Drosophila melanogaster: one gene and its partners. The protein of the gene in region 1 purifies or fractionates together with the protein of each later gene. This does not show direct contact. Each region holds a gene or a part of one and is shown on either strand. Other genes may lie near its edges. The genes, in order: Nlp, ProtA, CTCF and mod.

Region 1 (7,869 bases):
GCCTCGCTGTTCGGCAAGAACGTGCGCCAGAGGATGTACGAACTCATCCAGATCGCCGATCCCAAGCACCGCGAGACCCTGGAGAAACAAGCCTTCGAGCGCATCAAGGTTATGCCCTCGCCGAACTAAGCAAGCACTGAAGAAGCACTAGAGATCACTATTTACTAGCAGCGACCCGCAATCTTTGAAGGCATTCCCGATATCGCTTTGATCCACTTCATAGAACTGCAATCATGATAGCCCTTTAGCATTACCAAATCTGAAATTTCAATTGATGAGTAACGAATTGATGGGAGAAATAAAACTGAAATTGATTAAATGCCTGGTTTCAAGAATGTTTGCTAAACGGGGAAGATAAGTATTTATAGTTGCCACTTAGTTCATCAGTGTAAGAGAGCGTTTAAAACGAACTCCCACTTTAGTAAAATGCAATAATATTGTTTGTATTCCGACAAGTTTATTTTCATACTGCAAATATGAAGGGGCGCGTACAGGAAGTCCGGCTTAGCTTTAGTTATACTTTAATATATATACAAATCTGTGTGTTCGATTAGTGTCCGGATCAGTCACAGTCCGATCCGCTCCCGCTTCCGGGTGCGGAACTCCTGGCTGAGCGACAGACCATTCGCTGGGGAAACACGACCGAGCACACAACGTTGTCTTTGAATTGAATGTAAAAGGAGCTGTTCAAAAGGAACTAGATTGTATTCTCAGTATGCATCGTATTGTATTATAGGGCCTAAAACTGTTTTTGCTTTAAAATCTACACGTTCATAGCTTAAACCTCGATGGATGATTGGCGGTCAGCAGTTTACTTCTTCTTGTTGTTCTTGGCATTTTTACCATCGGCGGCGTTCTCGATCTTGGCGCGCTTCTTTGGGTGCTCGTCCTCCTCGTCCTCGGCGACATCATCCTCCTCGTCATCCTCCTCCATGTCGACCACCTCCACATCGTCCTTGATGTTGTGCCCGTGGATGTAGACGGGTCCGCTGCCCTTGATCAGCTTGAATGTCACCTTCGACTCGTAGAACTCCACGTCGGGATTGACGGCGCGGGTCTCTCCGGCCTTCAATACGGCGATGGGAATTTGCACGGAGTCCTTGGGTGTGTTCACCTGCGTAAACAAGGCGAAGATTCGCAAATTAGATAGATTCATTGACTTTTCAAGTGGCTTATAAATAAATTGAAGTTAGACACGTTTCGAATGTTATCTATTGTTCACTTAGGTAGGAACATCAATTGAAACATCAATCTTTTCCTGCTTTTAACTGCATAAGATTGCTGGCCAAGATTGACCCATATAGATCCCCGTCATATGCCTTTCAAGTGGCCGAAGATAGTTGTTGAATTCCCAGATTACACCAATTTCGGATCCAGCGAGCAGATAGCGCGAAGTTCATCACGACTGGCCCACTTAATCGCTCTGCAGTCTTCGTCTTCGTCTCTATCTCTTATCGTTGTCGGCCGAACAGAACACCTTCCCCAAAACTAACTGAACTGTCCGATGATAACTGCCTACGCACTCACATATTCGCACAGTCGCTTTCGGTAATAACACCGTCGACTGGCGGCCGCCTGACCACTCGTCTGCCCACACTGGAGTGGATCGGTTCGTTCCCTTTAAACTGTAGCCAGGCTCATCTGAACCGGAGTCCAGCAAGCGCGAATCTAACAAGTGACTGCTAATTAATCATCCGCAACGTGTAATTCGAATCAAAACTAGTATTGGCCGATCGTAAAGTGCTCCAAAGATCTTGTCGACATGCGCGATAACGAAGGTAAGTGGAGAAGCGCGTTCCCTCAAGAGGATAAGTGAAAGCAGTGTGATACGAAGGAAACTACTCCTTCCCCTTCTATTAAAACCAACCAACTGAATATCAGAAAACACAAACTATTACTCAATGGGGCTATAATTAGTGAAGGAACAAACACTGTTTGATTGTGCTGTGATAAATAAAGAACTAGTTTACCTAAAACTTGATGAGATAAACTACAATTAAAGGAAACTAAACAAAGGTCTTCGGAGACATTACATTATTTATGGTAAATACCCGGTAATGAGTCCGTAATTAGACAAGAGAATCCACAAGATGACAGTGCTATTACGAGCTGCGAAAGATGAGTTATCAGTGACAAGCTGGCTTCCTGGGGATGAACGTGTCCATCAAGCAAGAAGGGATCAAAACGTAAATTTCCCCCGTTGAATAATATAAATGCATAAGATACAAACTAGCCAAGGATACTATATGCGGCTCACTAATTATCTAGAATATGAGACACCAAAACAGAGGGTTCAAAGTGCTAACATCAAGGCATTGTGCTGCCTGCTGGATGAACTTGTCTATCAGCTTGTAGACATCTTTGGTATTTTTCCAGAAGTCACAAGACCACCGAACCGCAGGAAATCATCGAGGCACTTCAGATCATGTGCAGAGATTGCGAATGGGTGTACATAAAAGAGCGTTTTTCAATCAAATAAACCACTTAACTATGGCCATATCAAGATTTCAAGGCGCCCCAGGAGGCACACCTACTAAATAGCCCACTTGTGCTTTCCAGATGATCTCTACCGGGAGCGTCTGCCGAACGTTTGCGGTGCCGTGAGCTCAAAGGCGAGGAGCTGCTGCAGCATGCGCTCCGTCCACAGATACCTGCCCGTCACCGATTGGCTGCCCAAGTACCAGTTGAACTTCCTGGCCATGGATGTGGTGGCGGGTCTCACCGTGGGCCTCACAGCCGTGCCACAGGCCATAGCCTACGGAGCTGTGGCCAATCTGCCACCAGCCTATGGGCTCTACTCCGCTTTTATGGGTGGATTTGTGTACATACTGCTTGGAACTTGTAAGGATATCACAGTGGGTGAGTTGGGGAGCCTCTGGTGAGGTGGTGCGCTAAGTAATTCAAATCGTTCTTCCACAGGCCCTACGGCCATCATGGCGCTTATGGTGCAGCCATATGTGGACGGCAACCCAGCGTATGCGGTGCTAATATGCTTTCTGTCCGGCTGCATCATCACCCTAATGGGTTTACTCAATCTCGGAGTGCTCATGCGGTTCATATCGGTGCCGGTGACCACGGGTTTTACGATGGCAGCCGCCCTAACCATTGCCACCGGCCAGGTTAATAGCCTCTTTGGCATTAGCAGTAGTGCCAGTGGGTTCCTTAACAGCTGGATATACTTCTTCGGTCACATAACACAAACACGCCGAAATGATGCCATCCTCGGCTGCTGCACACTTGTGCTCCTGCTGCTCATGAGGGTGGGTAATGCTTAATTAAATTGCTTAATTAGAAGGTTTGATTAGCGAGACTATAAATGTTTAAATAATTTCAGCAACTGAAAAACCTAACTTTCGGCTTCAAAAGCGTGTGGAAGTATATTTCACTGGCCCGCAATGCTGTGGCCGTGTTAATTGGCATACTCCTGTGCTATCTTCTGAAGAACGATGGCAAACTGCCCTTTCTAGTCAGCGGCAGCATCACTCCAGGCCTGCCGCCTTTCAAGCTTCCCCCTTTTCACACGGAGGATCCAGAGACTGGAGAAACCATTAGCTTCGGTGGCATGGTATCGAACGTAGGCACTGCCCTGGTGTCCATACCACTGTTGTCCATATTGGAGAGCATAGCTGTGGCCAAGGCCTTCTGTGAGTGCGGAGGAATAACTTCAGTTCATATTCCATAACTTGAGCTTCTTCTACTTTCAGCCAAGGGCAAGATAGTGGACGCATCGCAGGAGATGATTGCCCTGGGCGTCAGCAACATCCTCAGCAGCTTCTTCTCCTCCATGCCTATCACTGGATCCTTTACAAGGACAGCCATCAACAACGCCAGTGGAGTAAAAACCCCGCTGGGTGGTGCGGTTACCGGCGCTCTCGTCCTCATGACCCTGGCCTTCCTCACCACCACATTTGCCTACATTCCGAAGGCGACCCTGGCAGCCATCATCATTGCAGCCATGTTCTTTATGGTGGAGTACGAGACCATTGGCGAGATTTGGCGGGCTAAAAGTGAGTGCTACATGGCATTTGGGATCCCACGTGAAGTTAAAGTAAGTCTGGTTATCTTACAGAGCGCGATATGCTGCCTTTCCTGGTTACCGTGCTGACCTGTGTCTTCTGGACCCTGGAGTACGGAATGGTGGTGGGCATCGTCTTCAATGCGCTTTTCCTGCTCTACAAGAGCATGAAGCCGCAGTTTTTCTTGACAACCGAGAAGGTGAGCTGACACACTGCATATATAGGGCCTAATAATTTCTATTGGCAATCAACCTAGTTTAACGGCATTGAGGTGACCATGGCCGATCTCAAGGGCAGCGTGGACTACGCGGCAGCCGAGTACTTGAAAATGTCGCTTGTGTCGCACGTGACGCAAAGAAACAGCGAGGGAAGTGCCCCCACCACACTGGTGGTCATTAAGGGACACGAGATTGCCTCAATTGATACGACAGTGGCTTTGGTGAGTGCCAGCTTTCTTTGCTGCAAACTATGACCTTTGACCCGAAACCTCTTCTCTATTCCTCGCGAAGAACCTCAAGTCACTGCGCGAAGATCTCGCCCTGCTGAAGTGCGACATGATCTGCTGGAATTGGAGTATTCCGGCGGCGGGAGTGATTTGCCGGATGGACAGGAAGCTGCGCAGTATGTTCAAGTTCTCGAAAAGCTTTCCAGACCTAATGCAAACAATTGCGGATGCCGAGGCAGCCGATTCGTGTATCGCCGTTGACTTGAGTCAATAAAGAGTGCTCTTTTGTCTTGCCGTATGTGTATCTGCGTACAGTTGCGCCAATGAATTTGGTTCGGAAAGGTGGGGTACTTAAACTATGAGGATCTTGATGGTTAAGGTATAATGATGGTTAGGTACAACTAATGAGAAATTTTAAAGCACAAATTAAAAATATTTATTATAATAAAAATTATATTCTTTAAAGAAGATGTGCTTTGATAGTTATTCTCGAAAGTTCCTAACAATATACAAAACACCTAAGTCCCTGGATTTACTGGGACAGTTGTAAAGTACCTAGTACTTCTTTGCAAGTACCTTGTACTAAAAAGAATTTATGTACCTAGCACATCCCATTGGTAATGTACCATGGCAATCGAAAGTCCGGGGCTGGTTACTCGGCGGCCGTTTGCAGATGTACAGACACAATTACCCTAGCCCACCACAACGAGCGAAAAGTTCGAGGTTGTTCTGGTCTGGGGGAAAAATGGAAACCGGTCCCTGCCCCGCCGGCCGGAAAAATGCAACGAAAAAAAAAATGAAAAAGAAAAAAAGAAGAGGACACCAACCGGCGCGCGCATACACAATTTATGGGATTTACTACATGCACTGAATGCCCCGTTTCGCATACACAATGAATGGAGTACTCACCTCGACCACGTTGAACTCGTTCTCCTTGGCCTCGGCGCCCAAGAGGATCTGTTTGATGACCAGCTTCTGGCCGCGTGCGTAGTCCTCGTCCACATCCCACGTGACGCTGTCGCTCTCGGCGGTCAAAGTGACTCCTGCGGAGGGGATATAGTCGCCATTATACTTTCTGATTCGTATCTTATTCGCGCACTCAAATCCGAGGGTTTGAGGCTAGACACACACAAATTGGCCAGCGGCAAATCTTAGAGCAAAAACACCGGCAAGCTTCGCAGACACTCCGCCTTTTCGGTGGTAAATACGCCTTCTACGCGTCCACTTTTGCCCCCTTTCGCTGCCTATAGAGTGCAACTGCTAAATTGTAATTACCGTAGAATGATTCCTCAGCCATGGTAGGTAATATTTAATATTAATTCCACACAAAACCAGCGGCGAACACGTGTTGAGCAAAATCTTTTGCAAAATGGTAGCTGTCGCAGGGTTGCCAGGCCGACGTAAGGTGCCGAAATCGATGATTGTCAGACTGGGAATCAAAATCGCAGGGCTGCCACTTGTAGTGTCCAATCGAATGTGACAATCTATATTCGTTTGTTGCAAGCTAACGCGACAGTAAAATATATTAAAAAATATTTCAAGTCTTCATTACCAGTACTTGCGAAGTTCCCAACAAATTAAACGAATAATATCGATAGTCCTGCGCTTCGATAACAGCACCGCTCAACGCTTCACACAACTGCAGCCATCGCCGTTTTACGGGCACGTGTAGAGTACAAAAGGTTCTTTTATTAATTGACTGTACATCTGTGTTCCAAGGCCTGCAAATGGAGTCCGAGTCGTTTTATGGTGAGTACCATTGCCATTTGGGCTGGAAGAGCGCTCCAATAGCCATCCCATAGCCACGCTGCGAGCAGCTCCCCTCCAGCCGGCAAAAAGCAGTCGGAAATCCAACCCTTCTCGCCGTTCGTCCACTTCCAGGTGTCACACTCAGCGAGAAGGAGGCCATCGCACAGTTCGAGGTCCCAGATGTACCCGAGGAGTACATCGTCCACTCGCACAAGCTCATCATCAAACAGATTTCCCTCGGCCCAGAAGCGAAGACCGGCGAATTCAACGTTGTACAGGTGAGCCTCGATACCGGCAATCTGCCCCGCGTCGCAGGTCGTAAATTTAAAGGCGACATGGCTGATTTAACTCATATCATATTTCGCGAAAAACTCGGAAATTATACAGTGATAAAATGCACACAAATTTAATGTTTCGCTTCCAGGCGGAGACGAACATAAACGACGATGGCGAGAAGAAAACCTTGAAGATCCCCATTGCCGTGTTGAAGGTCGGCGAGACCCGTAGCTTAAGACCAAATGTCGAGTTCCCCAATGGATCAGTGACCTTCAAACTGGTGCAGGGAAGTGGACCCGTACACGTATGCGGCAAGGTGAGCTCCATCCATCCATCCATCCATCTATCTATCTTTCTATCTACTTTGGGTTCCTGTTCCTAACAAATTGCCGTACCCTCAGGTCGAGATGAACTTTGGCGAGTTTGACGACGGTCAGATTTACGAGGAGTATTCGGACGAGGAGGAGGATAGCGAACTGGAATTCGACGAAGAAGCAGCTCCTCAGACGAACGGCAAGAGTAATAAGAAGAAGTAGAAACACATTACACTCCAGTAAGCTAACTAAATGATCCGAAAAAAATAAAAACTTCAATACGACTTTAATAATGTAAAGAAACCATCCAATTATAATGACCTTTTGTTTTTGGTCTATATTATATGGAATTTTATTCATTCTGTGTTGCGTATGTTCAAATATGTCACTTAATGTAAACGAATTGTGGCAGTTTTAAGAAGAATGCTCACGGAAGATTAAAACAAAAGGAACCCACTGGGTTTTTGTGCTAATTACAGGCTCGGGCCACCGAAATCTTCTGGCGTGGCACTCTGAAAGTATAGATTGGTGGTTGGTTATCAGTATATAATTATAAAGTAGGAGGCTGAGCGCCTACCGTATGTGAATCACTCGACGCCTCTCGTCACTGGGATGTATAAGGTCCAGTTTCTGGCTCCACTCAATCAGCTTCATTTCATGGCGCAGCTTCTTGCGGTCGAAGTAAGATATGACGCAACTGATGGGAATCCAAAAGACTGCAGTGACGAGGACAACGGCCACTGAAAATATGATTGAGCAAGTGTGGCTTAGTGGGGATCTTCAGAATGTAATATTTAAGATTGCAATACTTACTGACAATGTTGTCCTTGAGAAACCTCAAGGTCTTGGCCACATTTATCTCCTCGATGATGTCCCAGAAGCGCTCCACCACATCCTGTATGGTCTTTTCGCATACGCCCTGAAAGAAATCGCAGCTTAGCATAATTATGGGCAATGTAAGGAGTCAATCCACAAGCATACCTTGTTGCAGAATCCTGTGATGCAGGGTGTGCCATCGGGTAGGACATCAGGTGGCTCTACGGGGAAGCAAGTCTCATTGATGCTCATG
Region 2 (4,802 bases), on another chromosome or scaffold:
AATTTATGCGAGCCTTGGGAATTGTTTCGAAAATTGACAAATTATGGTCGTAAGTGCTGCGATTAGTCCGTTCCGTTCCATTCGCCTTTTCGTTTGCTATTTTTGCCAACTGTCCCAAGGTTGTCTTCCCAAAACCACAATGTGCATTACATTTACTCACAGAACAGTTGCAGAAACGGGTTTATGGCATCCATAACATTGCGGGCACTGCGTGTTATTAATAATTCAATTTAGCTGTCTCAGAACAGACGACGGGTCAGAGAACTCTGGAAAGCTTGAAGCACACGCAACTCCTCCTATACCTTCGAATTCCCAATGCCGTGCCCATTTACCGCTCAGCCTTAGCAGTTTTCCCGTTCCATTTCCTCGGATCACAGCTCATTATCTATTCATGCAAAAGCTCATATAGTGGAATAATAAATTGAAATTCGACGGGCACCTGGAAACAACCACAAATACCCATTCGCGCTATTCCAACATCCTAGAATCGTAATAAAAAGTACACGATTTTTAATTGGTTTTTATTTCTAAATTCATCGAATGTTAGGAAAGGATATGCCTGGACTTAACTGCATCAGACTTTTTCCTATCTCAGTATTGCTGGCAAATCCGTCGGCGCTTGTGGCGTTCACTGGTGGTGACCTTGCATGCCTGAAAGGACACCAATGAATAGTCTTCATAACATAAAAAATATACGTACCATCCGGCGGTATCGATCCTTTCTATTCTCCGAGAGCCTGGCCCACGCTTTAGCGGCCTTTGCAATTAATTCCCGCGGTTTCAAGTTACAGTGCTTCTTTCGGAAGGAACGCACAAAATTCAAATAGGCGTTGTTAGTGACAGGTCCCTGCTTGCTGCACTTCTGCCTCGGTGCACACTTGACCTTGGGCCGAGTCGCCTTGGCACAGGCTGCCTTTCGGCGCGGCTTTGCACAGGACTTCATTGGCTTACATTTTTGAGGTGCTCTCCTTATTGGATGATTACACATTTCAGTGAGACCTTTAGGACTTTCATCTTTTGCAGAAATGGAAATTATGCCATTCCACAGGCTCTTGCACTCATTTACATTATTTGAACTCATCGTAGAAAATTTTTACAAACTCTGAAAAGAAAAGGAAAGGGAAGTTTTATATGGGATTTATTTGTTGTGTACGATGTCAGCCATCAACTGTGATGGAGTATGTTCCCCCCGCATGTGAGTGTTGGCCCCAGAAGCCGCAGAGTTGCGTCCTAGAGAAGTCACTTAATCAGTGAGCAACCCGAGTCTCAAACCAGAAGTAAAGCCCAAGCCCTACCGACCAGGATGAAGATCTGAACAGCAGGAGACAAGCGGTTGCAACTGCAACAAAGCCCATAATTAATAACAGTTGCAAGCTGCCTCCCGACAACCGACGTTTAGTCACCATGTGTGGGAGCCTAAGTGGCGGTTCTTAGCCAAGACCAATGAGTATTAAGAACTGGTTATATAATTGTCATGGAAATCTACAGTAGTTTGTAATGAAAATTAGTACCCGACAGCAAATGGGCAGTGGTAAATAATTAATAGAAGGACTCTCCAAGGATAAAAAAGCTAAACCAATATCTGTATAATTCAAGATTACTGAAGTTTCCTCAAATCCGAGCAATTTATTTGCCACCCACAGCTGATATTTTGGGCTTGACAAATATTAATTCGAAATATTAATTTGAAATCGTTATGGATGTGTACAAATTACAATTTGTGACCAGCTGTGCCATCGCACCACACTGCCTGCATTGTCTATCAAACCCCACTGAACACCCAGTTGGAATACAAAATTCGCTTTAGCTAGAGAGCTTCATTGAAGGCCCAATATGCTCCTTTTGGCTCTTCGAACTTAAAATTATCTTGTGGATCAATATAAAAAAAAACAGCACGAGTTGAATGGATATTATTGGGGCTTCGCCGGGAGGAAGTTATCTTCAAAGCTATTTTTCTTCAATGAAAGGAAGCCTTGATTGATTAAGTGCTAAACTAGATTTAAAAGCCAACGAGGGCAGGTAAAACTAAGTAGGAACCGACAGGAGCTGAGGGCGTCGAGTGATTATCATTAGCCGCCAGAGTAGTTGCCATTTAGCACGCACAACGAGATGAGTGCCAGCAACATCAGCAGCAGATGCAACAATGTTTGAGTAATTGTTTGCCGTTGCTGCAGCGTCAACAGCAGCACAAGCAGCAGCACAAGCAGCAGCAACTGCAGATGCAACAAAATTTGCATGCAAGCACAAGTCCCTACTCACCACCCCTTAGCCCAAAACCCCACTCATTGCCCCATTTGGCTGCACACGTAACTGAACGGTGGCAACAACTGCAGCAGTAATTGCAACAAACAATTAGCGTCACTTGGATTTATGTTTACGAGCGGCTGCCTGGACATTTTCGGCCACAATGACAGTGTGCCCCCTGTCTACTGCCCTTTTATGGTTGTCAACGAGCAAAAAGTTGATCAATCAGGACGTGTAATTTATTTACAATTTCACTCTGACAACGAAAGAAAGAACTAAGAGTTTCTCTTCACATTAACTCGATCTTTCTTTCGGCCGAACCGCGTGAACCGCTATGATTTATTTAATTGCCCGCGCTTGCTGCCAGTGTTGTTGCAGCATGTAAATGACGTCATTACAAGGCGTGGGGCGTGGCAAGGTGGTTGCCTGTCGACAGACTACCCCCGGCATTAGTTTAAAGCCAGATAGGAGGGCCACATCCATCCGATATCGAGGCAAACACGCCACGTCGACAGTCGACATTAATTTAATCGCATCACAATGCATTTACAGAACTGAATTTCACAAAAGCTTCTTTAAAAGAAATTTTTGAAAGTAAAATTTTTTCAAATGAAGTTTATCGAAACTGATTGGCATACCAATAAAAAATAATTATGCGCTTCGTTTAAAATAATTTGTATGGTATGTTGTTCTGTAAAAATAAATTGTAATTCGTTTTATTTCACTTACCTTTATAAAGTTTTTTTTTTTAAACCAAATTTTTGTCACAACTAATTTTTAAGAAGAGCATAAAAATAAGACTTTTGGAAAAATTTTGCTTGTGAACTGTTTGTGTACCAAGTTACAACTAATGTTTAAAAAAACCGACTGCCCGGTATAAGGGGTATACGGCAAAACCTACGCCAACTATATGGAATAAAGTTAGATTTGATCGAAACGACGCCGGCGGATACGCATCCTGGGAAACATCCTTCTGTTAGGTGGTTACGCCCCCATGTTTCCCTTTGCCAGTGGCAGTGTGGCAAGTTTTCCTCATAGGTGGCATAAATTATGTGAAACAATTTTTGGGTATTTCGATTGTCTCACAACAGACGCCTGGTCAGAGAACTGTGGAAAAGCTTGAAGCAGAAGCCTATCCATATCTTCGAATTCACCATTGCCGTGCCCATTTACCACTCAGCCGTTTCATTTCTTTGGATCACAGCTCATTAGAAAGCTCATATAGTGGAATAATAAATTGAATTTCGCCGGGCACCTGGAACAACCACAAATACCCATTCGCGCTATTCCAACATCCTAGAATCGTAAAAAAAATGAAACCCGGTTTTTAATTTTTTTTATTTCTAAATTCATCGAATGGTATCAAATCAATGAAAATATATGCCTGGACTTAACTGCATCAGACTTTTTCCTATCTCAGTATTACTTGCAAATCCGTCGGCGCTTGTGGCGTTCACTGGTGGTGACCTTGCATGCCTGAAAGGACAAATTAATAGTCTTCATAATATAAAAAAAAAATACGTACCATCCGGCGGTATCTATCCTTTCTATGCTCCGGGAGCTCGGCCCACGCTTTAGCGGCCTCTGCAATTAATTCCTGCGGCTTCAAGTCACAGTGCTTCTTTCGGAAGAAACGCACGAAATTCAAATAGGCGTTGTTAGTGACAGGTCCCTGCTTGCTGCACTTCTGACTCGGTGCACACTTGACCTTGGGCCGAGTCGCCTTGGCACAGGCTGCCTTTCGGCGCGGCTTTGCACAGGACTTCATTGGCTTACATTTGGGCGGTGCTCTCCTCTTTGGATGATTACACATTTCAGTGAGACCTTTAGGACTTTCATCTTTTGCAGAAATGGAAATTATGCCATTCCACAGGCTCTTGCACTCATTTACATTATTTGAACTCATCGTAGAAAATTTTTACAAACTCTGAAAAGAAAAGGAAAGGGAAGTTTTATATGGGATTTATTTGTTGTGTACGATGTCAGCCATCAACTGTGATGGAGTATGTTCCCCCCGCATGTGAGTGTTGGCCCCAGAAGCCGCAGAGTTGCGTCCTAGAGAAGTCACTTATTCAGTGAGCAATCCGAGTCTCAAACCAAAAGTAAAGCCCAAGCCCTACCGACCAGGATGAAGACCTGAACAGCAGGAGACAAGCGGTTGCAACTGCAACAAAGCCCATAATTAATAACAGTTGCAATCTGATTCCCGACGTTGTTTTGTAACGAACAAAAAGTTGATCAATCAGGACGTGTAATTTATTTACAATTTCACTCTGACAACGAAAGAAAGAACTAAGAGTTTCTCTTTAGATTAACTGGATCTTTCTTTCGGCCGAACCGCGTGAACCGCTATGATTTATTTAATTGCCCGCGCTTGCTGCCAGTGTTGTTGCAGCATGTAAATAACGTCATTACAAGGCGTGGGGCGTGGCAAGGTGGTTGCCTGTCGACAGACTGCCCCGGCATTAGTTTAAAGCCAGATAGGAGGGCCACATCCATCCGACATCGAGACAAACACGCCGGCCGCCAAAAAGGCGTGGCCGCCGAATTTCCGCTTT
Region 3 (5,604 bases), on another chromosome or scaffold:
CTTAGACTGTGATTAGATTAGGCTAGATAGATTAAACTTATGAAATTTATGATCTTCCACAGAAAGCAAAAGACGGTGACGAAATAGTTGCGATGGATGTTTTGCAATTGTCCGCTTCGTTGGTGCTGCTCACGCACAGCGTCTACAACTTTAAATTGGCTTCGACCATAATTAATGAGACAAGCAATGCTAATATTGCCGACTATCGTAAAAACCTTTCTAATAGGCAGCGGTAAAAAACGTTCAATGAGATACATTCTGTCGTAAACAAGAGTTTCTACTTGTATTTTTTTTACCATCAGGCGAACCTTTGACAAGGCTGCCAAGGAGACCGTTCGGATGCAAGGCAACACTCGCGGCAAACTGGACATTATACGCAACGTAAACGAAATTTCGCCACAAGAGTTTAATGATCTTTTTAAGATCAACAAAAACTTGAATCAGGAGGGCGTGCGATACTCATTCGCACCCGATGGCAAAGGATTTTTACTAAATGGCGATGTGCAGACGACGGGTGCGGAATTGCGAGCTAGTGTACAACATAACCAAGGAGGGAATGTCCTAGGCAAAGTTAGTCAGCCCATTCCCGGTAGCCATGCGGGTTCTGGTCGCCTTCAACTGGGCGGCGTTAATCAGGTTTCCCGTCTAATCGGACCGCTGCCCACATCCCATCCTCGACAGGAACCCAGTACCTATGCCGCCGGCGTGTTCGCCTTGGAGCTAAGCTCTGTGTTGGTGGGCGGTGTTGTTTTCGTACTGGAGAAATACGGAAAAATCATATTTGAGCACGTGATCAATGCTGAAAGTTTTGAGAGCCTAATCAACATCATGGCCAATAAGCTTGATCCAAAAGTCTTTGACCATATAATGCTATTGACCAGAGCCTTCATGGACACCATGCTGGAAGACCTCACCTCGGTGCTAAAGTTCTTTATATCAACGGAATCCGTTCTTTACCGCATTTTGTTGTACATTTTACGGAACTTCGAGGACGTGCAACTTTCGGTTATTGCGGATCACACTTGTGAGATCGTAGAAGCCGTAAGGGTGTACTTCATGTCCCTGAATCCAAATGCGTTCCCGGGTCTCCTTCAGAAGTGTCCGAAATGTATCGGCCACTTCAGCGTTTGTCCCTTGTAAGTGTTTAACGAAATGGTTCGTTTAACATTAGAATTCAAGGGCCATCAGCATGTCATAATTGATGCCCAATTGTTTAACCACAAAGAAACGTTAGCTAGTTCCGCAAATAATCAATGGGATAACTTACTTAATATGAGCACAAATTGACAAAGATGAAATTGTTTTAGCATTTAAATAAAGATTTTATTAACCCTGTTGAAATAATTGTAATAAAAGGAGAATTTTGAACCGGAATGGTTCTGATTTCCGGTTTTCGAACACAGAATATGTGAATCATTCATTGTGTAAAGGGGATTTTTTTTAATCTTTAAGAGTAATTCCTAAATTTACAATCTGATGTCATCTATACTATGGTATAATAGCAACAGCCATACCACCAAATCATTGAATGCCTTAGAATATAAGTCATAAATTCAAGTATCCCATAAGAACAACCCCAATTCTGGTGACAATAACAAATCCAGCCTGCCCTAATGTAACCATTAACATCTGCTGCCGAATCCGTTATTCCCACCAAAGGGTCAAAACCGCTAACGCAGCTCAAGTTCTCGGCTGATCAGTACCCATGAGCGATCCATCCACTCAAGAGGGCACCCAATCCAACAGACATAAACATCCGCAGGGGCTTTCGCGACATCAAAACCGCTTACGCAGCCCAAATCCTTGGCTTATCCAGTATCCAAAAGAATACAGATTATATTTTTTATCTAATAAATTACCGTGGATTCGTTATTATATATTTTCTGTTATCAAGAATTAAAGATAGTTTATATAGAGATGACAAGATACGAAACCAATCGAACTATCGATAGCTGGCGGTACTGATGCTACATGTCGCCATCTTTTATTAGAAATGGGCAGCTGTTTCATGTGGACGCAAATTAAATTGTAGATTTAACAACAATAACGACAACCGGCGTCCCTTTCAACATATTTTTTATTGGCAACCAAGTGTCGGTAGGTGAATTGAATCAAGCGGGATTACAATTGGTCGTTGCGAGAAATCGATAAGCGCCCTCTTCGGGATCCCGGTCATCCGCTGTGGGTCGCCACCAAAACAAATCCAATTTGTCCATAGGAATGCCAAGGAGGACAAAAAAGGACGAGGACCCCGAGGATCTGCAGACCTTCCTCAACAATTTCCATAAGGAGATCGAAGGCAACAGCGATGAGAAGGTGGTAAACACGATTTTGGAGGCCATCAGCGCCGAGGCCATCGACTTGGATGAAAATGGTGCGGAGGCTGGTGGATCGAAACCGATGGAGGAGGCGGAGGCTGATTTGGATCATGCGGAGGAAGCGGAGGAGGAGGAGGAGGACGACGAGGATAAGTATTTCATAGATGACGAGGGCAACTGCTATATCAAGACTACGCCCAAGAAGCAAAAGGAGCTACAAAAGAAGCTCAAACAGGCGGCTGCCAAGCCGGGGAAAGCTACACGTTCCGTGGTCAGTACAGCCACCAATAAATGTGAGTTACCCTTTGCCATATATGTGCGTGCATTTGTATCACTTGCTCGACTCTTTTTAAGCCATCAATTTGCGGCCAGCCAAATCGACACCGAAAGCGACTACTTCGAAGCCTCCCCCAGAACCCAAGGCAATTAGCGTTCGACCAGCCCGAGCAGCTGCAGCCAAGGCGAAGCAATCGGCGATGCCACCGCCACCGGCATTAGTGGTCAAAGTACCGGCACCCAGGGGCAGGCCTAGAAAGAACCCTGTCATACCGAAGCCTGAACCCATGGACTTGGAGCGGGAGCTCGAGGAGCTGGTAGATGAGCCCGACATCAGTTCAATGGTGACAGAATTGTCGGACTATACCGTAGACGAAGCTGCCGTAGAGGCAGCAACAGCTACGCTGACGCCAAACGAGGCTGAGGTCTACGAATTTGAGGACAATGCGACGACAGAGGATGAGAATGCCGACAAGAAGGACGTAGACTTTGTGCTAAGCAACAAGGAGGTGAAGCTGAAGACAGCTTCTTCTACCAGCCAGAATTCGAATGCATCGGGACATAAGTACTCATGCCCACACTGCCCGTATACGGCGAGCAAGAAGTTTCTGATCACGCGCCACTCACGAAGTCATGACGTCGAGCCATCCTTCAAGTGCTCCATCTGCGAGAGGTCCTTTCGATCGAACGTGGGCCTGCAAAACCACATAAACACGCACATGGGCAATAAGCCGCACAAGTGCAAGCTCTGCGAAAGCGCCTTCACCACCAGCGGCGAGCTGGTCCGTCACACTCGCTACAAGCACACTAAGGAAAAACCGCACAAGTGCACGGAGTGCACATACGCCAGCGTGGAACTGACCAAACTGCGCCGCCACATGACCTGCCATACGGGCGAGAGACCATATCAATGTCCGCACTGCACCTACGCATCGCAGGACATGTTCAAGCTGAAGCGACACATGGTTATCCACACCGGCGAGAAGAAGTACCAATGCGACATCTGCAAGTCGCGATTTACGCAATCTAACTCACTAAAGGCCCACAAGCTCATCCACAGCGTGGTCGACAAGCCCGTCTTTCAGTGCAACTACTGCCCGACGACTTGCGGTCGGAAGGCTGACCTGCGCGTTCACATTAAACACATGCACACCTCTGATGTGCCAATGACATGCCGGCGCTGTGGCCAGCAGCTGCCCGATCGCTATCAATACAAGCTGCACGTTAAGTCACACGAGGGCGAAAAGTGTTACAGCTGCAAGCTGTGCAGCTACGCTTCGGTCACCCAACGCCATTTGGCCTCACACATGCTCATCCACCTGGACGAAAAGCCGTTCCATTGCGATCAGTGCCCGCAGGCCTTCCGGCAGCGTCAATTGCTGCGCCGCCATATGAATCTCGTGCACAACGAAGAGTATCAGCCACCAGAACCGCGCGAGAAACTGCACAAGTGTCCGAGTTGTCCGCGGGAGTTTACCCACAAGGGTAATCTAATGAGACACATGGAGACTCACGATGATTCGGCGAATGCTCGCGAAAAGCGGCGTCGCCTTAAATTGGGCCGCAATGTGCGGCTGCAGAAAGATGGCACTGTCATCACGTTGATCAAGGATCAGTATGTGGATATGGACCGGGACCAGGAGGAAAACGAAGAGGATGACAACCCAGAGAGCTATGACTTGGCTGAAATCGAGCCGGAGAACTCGGAGGCTGAAGACGCCGATGATGATGTGGAAACCATAGTCAGTGATCCGATCCGTCAGAGAATCAAGCCAGCACCTATCATTATCAACAAACAGGCCAGGCTTGCCGCCTCCGAAAAGCAGCCGATGATCATCAATCAACGCCTCCGAAGTCAACGGGGCACCAAGACGTTCCACATCAAGGAGGAGCCGGACAACTCGGACTTCACCGTGGAATGGCAAGGGGATGATGGCGAGGTAATGGTCGTAGAGCTGGTTAATGGCGACGAGGAGGTGTTGGTCAAGCACGAACCGAGCGCCAACTCCAAGATCAGTGCCAAAAACTGCTTTGGTTTCGAGGTTAGTTGCAAAAACTTTAGCTGGCATTTGTTCCATTACTCAAAAATTTGGTTTTCATGCAGGACGACGATGATTATGAGGAGTATGGCGATGGGGAAAACGAGGTCGATGGCGCTTCCCAGGAGTTTCTGCAGCTGATGGATATGATTGAGCAGGACTCTTAGTCTCCTGAAAACAAAAGCTAATGGATAAGTAATTATGACTAACTTATGTACATACCAAGCATACAATAACGTATTTCTACGTTACATTGTTTTCTATTTAAATACACATTTAAAACAGTTAGGAAACCTATTTTTACTAGGTTAAGAAATGGATATTAAAAATGTATTCTTTCTAAATGAATGTATAATTCTGGATAAGCAGTTAACATGCCGATATGGCGACTATTTGTAAATGATCCCCGACACTTAAACTTTAGTTGACAACTTGGCATAAATATTTATTTAAATACATTTACATATATTTCAATGTTTTCATTAGTAGTATATAGTATATGGGCAAAATGTTAGGTGCGTTTGCGTTTAGCTGCATCTGGGCGTGCACTGTAAATTCTCGGCTATTAGTTGTCGTTTCTACCGTAAAATGTTCGCATAGTTTATAGTTTTCCATTTCCACTTCAGCAATCTGGTTAATTTTCTTGTTATTTTTCCGGTTTCTCTTGCCGTTTATTTCTTTTTGTTTCTTTCATGTGTATAACTACAATAAAAATATATATATTTTTATATATAATATATGTATATATTTTTTAGGTGGTGCAATGTGCAAAAACCTGCCGTGCAGTGCATCATTATCATTATTTCAATATATATAGTTGCGTTCATTTGTGTTGATTTTATAGTGTCTGCATAAAACATTAACAATTTGTCGTTAATAGTACATATGTATGTATGTATACGAATCGCATTTGTATAACAATTAAAATGGAACAACGTCGATAAAGGAAGTGCACATTGAGTTCCGAGTGA
Region 4 (5,242 bases), 2.0 Mb from region 1:
GGCTAAACTCCCTATACGTTGCTTTTATCCAAGTGATGATTTTTTATACATATTTACACATAAAAAGGATAAACTAATTTTTTGAACCAACAATTACTGAAATTTAAAGTACTAATCTAAATGGCATTTACAAAAAATATAAACATACATACAAACATTTACAAGTTTATACATATGTTAGCCAACCATATTAGATTTCTGAGTATGAACAAAAAAATTCAAAAAATTATAAAATACTACAAAAATGTATTACTAATAAATTAATTATACAAAGGAAATTCATATAGTTCTCGCTTTTTGAACAAGCGCAGCTGTACATTGGGCCATTTGGAAGGGATAGGAACCTATATACGAGAGTACCGAAGCGAGATAAAATTCAAACACAAAAAAAAAAACGGAATATACTGGAGATCGCACCTGTATACGTTCATATAAGCAGTAAATCGTTTTTTGAAGTATCTAGTTACCCAAAACCAAGACGTTGAATACAAAATTCTTATCGGGGTTTTTATTTACTTTTATTTAGTTCCATGTCCGATGCTTATAAAAATCGACATCTGCTTGAATACGGCTAGCATTTCTCCGGTAAAAATTTAATGGAGTATCTCTTATCAACTAAATCCATAACATCAAGTTGTATGGAATTATCGGGGCTGTGGCCGTATTTATGGTACTACGCAACTTAAAGCTAATTCTTGTAGTGTTCAAGTTCTAAAATCTTGCCCTTTTAACAAACGATTTACCACCATTCTCTTGTGCCGGGCGCTTGTTAAATGGTTTTTTACCAAAGTTTGGCTTAGTGTCCTTTTGGAACTTCCGCGGGGCGCGGGTCTGACCAATAGCTAAGCGTTTCTTTAACAATCTATGCTTCAGCAGAGAGTTTGGCTCAATAAATATAGGGGCGTTGTTTACAATGCTTTCATTAGCCAAGAAAGATTTGCAGAAACCCTCATCGTCCTTGAACTTTACTACCGCTTTTTGGCCCAACATTATGATGCTTTCGATTTCGCCGCTATCGTTAAACACTTTCCGCAGGTCGGCTTCAGTAGCATCTACAACGAAATTTTACATGATAATGATTAATAATTTTAAACAATTTTACGAAACGGGTAACCCACCTGAAGTCAAGTTCGTCACAAGAATGGCCCTCCCCGAGGTGCTGCGTTCGAATCGGTGAAGCTTCCACTCAAACTTATTAACAGTCTTTCCGTCGAGTTGTGCTAAAGCCTTCGTGGCGGCATCCGACTGCTTGAACGTGACAAAAGCTAAAACTGCCTTGCTGCACACAACGTCGATTTCTTCAACATCACCAAATTTTTTGAATATCTTTTCTAGAGCGTCGGAGCTGTAAGACTCGTGTTTGCCCACATTTTCGACAACCAAGGTAAGTTCACTGGTACGTGAAATCGATTCTTGTGAGATCCGACGAACCGTTATAAAGCGAGAAAACAGCTCAGTGCTATGCAGTTTAAGAGCCTTCGGTATGTCATCGACCGACGCCAAACGTACAAAAGCTCTGGGCATGAGGCGGTTACTGGATATAGTCACCGCCTCCACGGGAGCTACCTTCTCAAAAAAGGTTTTTAAGTCGTCCTTGGTAATATTAGGTCCAATCAGGCCAACCACCACCGTGCGTTCGTTGTTCTCTTCCTTATTTCTCGGTTGGGACACAGACAAAACATTGTCTCCAAGGGTTAACGCTTTAGGCTTAGCCTGCAGAACAGCTTCTGCTCCAGTTGACGTATCAAAGGCAATGAGAACTGATTTATTGCCATTCAAATTAGTGAAACGCTGCAAAGCGGAAAGTCGTCCGAACTTGGCGAACAATGCGACCAAGTCCTTGTGGAGATACTCTATGTGGAACAAATATACTAAGTTTAAATATACTTGAAAAATGAAATAATAAACCAGTTACTTTACCGTTTGGTAGGTTTGTGACAAAAACGATCTGGTTTTTTGGCGTTCCCAGCGGAATCTTGCCAACCTTTACTTTTGGAATTCCTCTATTTTCTTCGGACTTTTCAGAGTTGGCTTTTTCTGATTTCTTGGAAACTGGCTTCTCTACAGGCGCTTCTTCATCATCATCGGATTCATCTACCTCATCCGCGCCTTCACTTTTGGAAACCTCACCAGGCTCCAACTCATCGTCATCATCATCTTCCTCATCGTCACTATTGTACTCTTCATCTTCCTCAGCCTCGTCGTCAATTAAGCCCGCTGCCTCTTCGGTCTGAAAAGTAGACAATTTTCTTATAACCGCTGATGGGAGAGCACCAATAAAGACAATTTTTTTTTTATCGATATATGAACCGAGTCGGTATAAAACCAGAGGATCGTGGGTTATGTGCACTCGTCTTATAATTATAAAATCTTTACAACCACGTGGCAAAGAAAACGTAAAATGGATTCTTATCCATGCAGATCTATATATACGTGCATACTATGCATGTAATGTTAGCCATATCCATTCAGAAGACCACGTTTTTTTTATAGCTTACCTCAAAGTCGCTGTCGTCCCCTGGCTGCTCGTCATTTTGCTCCTCCACATCAGACTCGTCCTCTTCACTGAACTGCGGCACTTCTTTAACAGGCTGTTTTCTGGATTTTTTGGAAGGCGATTGGGGGACTACTGTCTCCTCTTCCTGTACCTTTGTGGACTTGGTTACCCGTTTGGCCAAAGGCTTTTCCTCTCCATTCGTAGCTTTTTTTCCTTTGACGGTGACGGCTTTCTTTTGGGCCATTTTGACAGCTTTTAGAGGTTTTCTGGGCAAAATTAGCAAAGTCAAGTTTGGACTGAACAACGCGTGGTTTCGTTCAATAAAATGCACGTGGAAAAGAGGGACAGAACAGTGTGACCGTTGTGCTCTATCGGTGCTAAGGCTGATTAAATAAAGTATTTTAGAGACTTCAATCTCATTTTTATAGCTCTATTCCACTACTAAATATGGTTTAAAGTCCGTTCATGCACATGTATACATATAAAAATAATAAAAGCCTTTAAAAAATAAAATAAATATTAAACAGTTTATATAAAGTATTTATTTAAGACTTAGGATACAATCTATGATTAGATATTTACCAACGGTCTGATTTTACATGTGTTTATACATTCCAAATGGTAAGTTTCCTCAATCATCAGCTATGAATCATCTGTTTCTAAAGGAATTTATAATATATATATTATATTTCATTAAAAAGCCAAGTCAACCTGCAGTTGCATTTTATCTTAGTAGGAAACTTAATGTTAATTCAAGCAATTGTTAATGGTATTGAAAGAAAAATTATTAAAAGTCACTTACTATGGGCCAGGGCACACTTAGGAAATATAAATAGGTGCCAAAAATGCAAAATAAATATTAATTATAGGCTGCGATTATGGTACGACCAAACATATATCGGTTTGTTCGCACTGAATTGAAATACCAGAGAAGTACATAATTTGTTAGTATGTAATATTCCCTGGTATTTTTCCAATGACTGTCAAGCAGTGCTGGTAAATGGCGGAACAAGTATACACATAAAAAATTAAATTGCAGCACAAGTCCCGCAACGCACACATATATTTATTTAACGGAGTTCCAATTAAGCAGGAACAGCAGAAAAGCAGAATAACAAGCATAACCGCCAAATAACATAATGAACGGTGGTGGTGGAGGAAGTGGAGGAGCAAATGTGAGCAATGGCTCCAGCACCAATGTAACAGCTGCCGGGAGCACTGGGGGCGGAAGCGCAGGCGACGAGACTGGTGGAGATGCCAGCTCCAGACGCCAGGCGACTCGGGTGTTTAAGAAGAGCTCCTCCAACGGCAAGATAACAGTTTACCTTGGCAAACGGGACTTCGTCGACCATGTCACGCACGTGGATCCCATTGACGGTGTTGTCTTCATTGATCCAGAGTACGTAAAGGACCGTAAGGTTTTTGGCCAGGTGCTTGCCGCCTTTCGGTACGGACGTGAAGACCTAGATGTTTTGGGATTAACGTTCCGTAAGGACCTGTATCTGGCGCATGAGCAGATCTATCCGCCCATGCAGCTGGACCGCCCGATGACCCGGCTTCAGGAAAGGTTAATTAAAAAGCTGGGGCCGAACGCCCATCCGTTTTATTTTGAGGTTCCGCCCTATTGCCCAGCCTCTGTGTCCTTGCAGCCGGCTCCTGGAGATGTGGGCAAGTCTTGCGGAGTAGACTACGAGCTGAAGGCCTTTGTGGGTGAGTCTTTGTGGGTCTGATCTTGTGGGTGTGTCCGTATACGGTGGTCAGTCAAAGTCAAAATCATTGATATTTCGCAGTGTGGCACATACCGTGTTTATTATATATGTTGCAATACATTAAATTTACAAATTTACAAATTTTTCTTTTTTCTTTACAAATTTTTCTTTTACCTTAGAGCAGTTAAATTGCGGGTACTATTGTTTCTGAGAATAAAATAATTTATTAAGAATATGGTTACAGTAGCAAAACTAGCTTTGTTCTTTTCTATAGAAGTTAGACTGTAAATTTCTTATATGTGTGGTTTTGTGTAAGTTAGCGCGTGCATCACGCGGTTGGGAACACAGGGTTAATCAATCCAACTACGTCGGGCTGATGACGCAGCGTTCACCTAATTGAAATTCGACACTTCTAATTGGAATTTGAATCAACCGAAGTTGCAGCGCAGTTAATGCTGTTGTTCGCCTTAACCAGGCGCCGCAGTTGGCGGTCTGACGATTTGTGTGCCAACAGCAAAGATCTTACATAGTTTCAAAATGTTTATTTGTTTAGTTTCTAATCTGTATTTAATAATTAAAAAAAGGTTTAAAGAATTTGTGCTTTATTTTATTAGTAGAAAGGTTTTTGGTTTCTGTAAATTTTAAATTTTTCATATTTTCGTACGATCGCCGAGCTCCACTCGCATATATATTATGTGCCCGTGGCACCCCCTTAATACATTCTCTGTTCAATAAATATTATTACCTATTGCCCTATTTTGTTTACACATTTTTGTGCTTTTATAGTTTCTGTTGGAATTTTATTATTATTCAGCAGCCAAATTGTTTACTGTTATAAACAGAGATTAATAAAATAGCAGCAATTGGCGTGTTGTTGGGTAAAAGAGTTTATAACAAGAACTTAATATTTATTTTTTCTGTATATAAGCCCAAATTCAATTTAAGAATAAAAACAACAATGTTGGAATTTGTACAGTTGGAAGAAACGATTTCTCAGTGCTTCTCTGCTTCCCCTCATGACAATTGAGTCAGCATT

What was found.
Region 2: the proteins of Nlp (region 1) and ProtA purify together in Drosophila melanogaster (affinity purification with western blotting; 2 studies listed by BioGRID, with this or other methods). This does not show direct contact.
Region 3: the proteins of Nlp (region 1) and CTCF purify together in Drosophila melanogaster (affinity purification with western blotting, with the first as the bait; one study listed by BioGRID). This does not show direct contact.
Region 4: the proteins of Nlp (region 1) and mod purify together in Drosophila melanogaster (affinity purification with western blotting, with the first as the bait; one study listed by BioGRID). This does not show direct contact.

Annotation. Positions count from the first base shown.
Region 1 is NT_033777.3:30,002,923-30,010,791, reverse strand, and holds Nlp (nucleoplasmin), read right to left. Parts: upstream 6,008-7,869; 5' UTR 5,759-6,007; coding exon 5,737-5,758; intron 5,505-5,736; coding exon 5,371-5,504; intron 4,759-5,370; exon of another isoform or gene 4,736-4,758; coding exon of another isoform or gene 4,526-4,735; intron 4,456-4,525; coding exon of another isoform or gene 4,273-4,455; intron 4,216-4,272; coding exon of another isoform or gene 4,070-4,215; intron 4,008-4,069; coding exon of another isoform or gene 3,705-4,007; intron 3,645-3,704; coding exon of another isoform or gene 3,335-3,644; intron 3,261-3,334; coding exon of another isoform or gene 2,920-3,260; intron 2,860-2,919; coding exon of another isoform or gene 2,560-2,859; intron 1,779-2,559; coding exon of another isoform or gene 1,763-1,778; exon of another isoform or gene 1,603-1,762; intron 1,115-1,602; coding exon 812-1,114; 3' UTR 440-811; downstream 1-439. Other genes in the region: CG7920 (uncharacterized protein), read left to right, coding at 1-129; CG7912 (uncharacterized protein), read left to right, coding at 1,763-1,778, 2,560-2,859, 2,920-3,260, 3,335-3,644, 3,705-4,007, 4,070-4,215, 4,273-4,455, 4,526-4,735; Nph (nucleophosmin), read left to right, coding at 6,189-6,210, 6,343-6,488, 6,635-6,802, 6,888-7,022; tace, read right to left, coding at 7,270-7,312, 7,378-7,540, 7,614-7,719, 7,782-7,869. UniProt on the Drosophila melanogaster protein: Binds to core histones and functions in the ATP-facilitated assembly of approximately regularly spaced nucleosomal arrays. May participate in parallel with other histone-binding proteins such as NAP-1.
Region 2 is NT_033779.5:14,878,538-14,883,339, forward strand, and holds ProtA (protamine A), read right to left. Parts: upstream 3,116-4,802; 5' UTR 2,974-3,115; intron 1,103-2,973; 5' UTR 1,082-1,102; coding exon 701-1,081; intron 652-700; coding exon 592-651; 3' UTR 513-591; downstream 1-512. Other genes in the region: ProtB (protamine B), read right to left, coding at 3,667-3,720, 3,770-4,150.
Region 3 is NT_037436.4:7,353,074-7,358,677, reverse strand, and holds CTCF (CTCF), read left to right. Parts: upstream 1-1,964; 5' UTR 1,965-2,097; exon of another isoform or gene 2,098-2,218; 5' UTR 2,219-2,220; coding exon 2,221-2,611; exon of another isoform or gene 2,612-2,672; coding exon 2,673-4,636; intron 4,637-4,698; coding exon 4,699-4,800; 3' UTR 4,801-5,100; downstream 5,101-5,604. Other genes in the region: pst (pastrel), read left to right, coding at 63-232, 303-1,140.
Region 4 is NT_033777.3:32,050,234-32,055,475, reverse strand, and holds mod (modulo), read right to left. Parts: upstream 3,417-5,242; 5' UTR 3,300-3,416; intron 3,157-3,299; 5' UTR 3,080-3,156; intron 2,996-3,079; 5' UTR 2,742-2,995; coding exon 2,499-2,741; intron 2,231-2,498; coding exon 1,921-2,230; intron 1,854-1,920; coding exon 1,119-1,853; intron 1,053-1,118; coding exon 712-1,052; 3' UTR 502-711; downstream 1-501. Other genes in the region: krz (kurtz), read left to right, coding at 3,637-4,207. UniProt on the Drosophila melanogaster protein: Its capacity to bind DNA and protein(s), and its differential expression during development suggest a role in the regulation of gene expression during Drosophila development.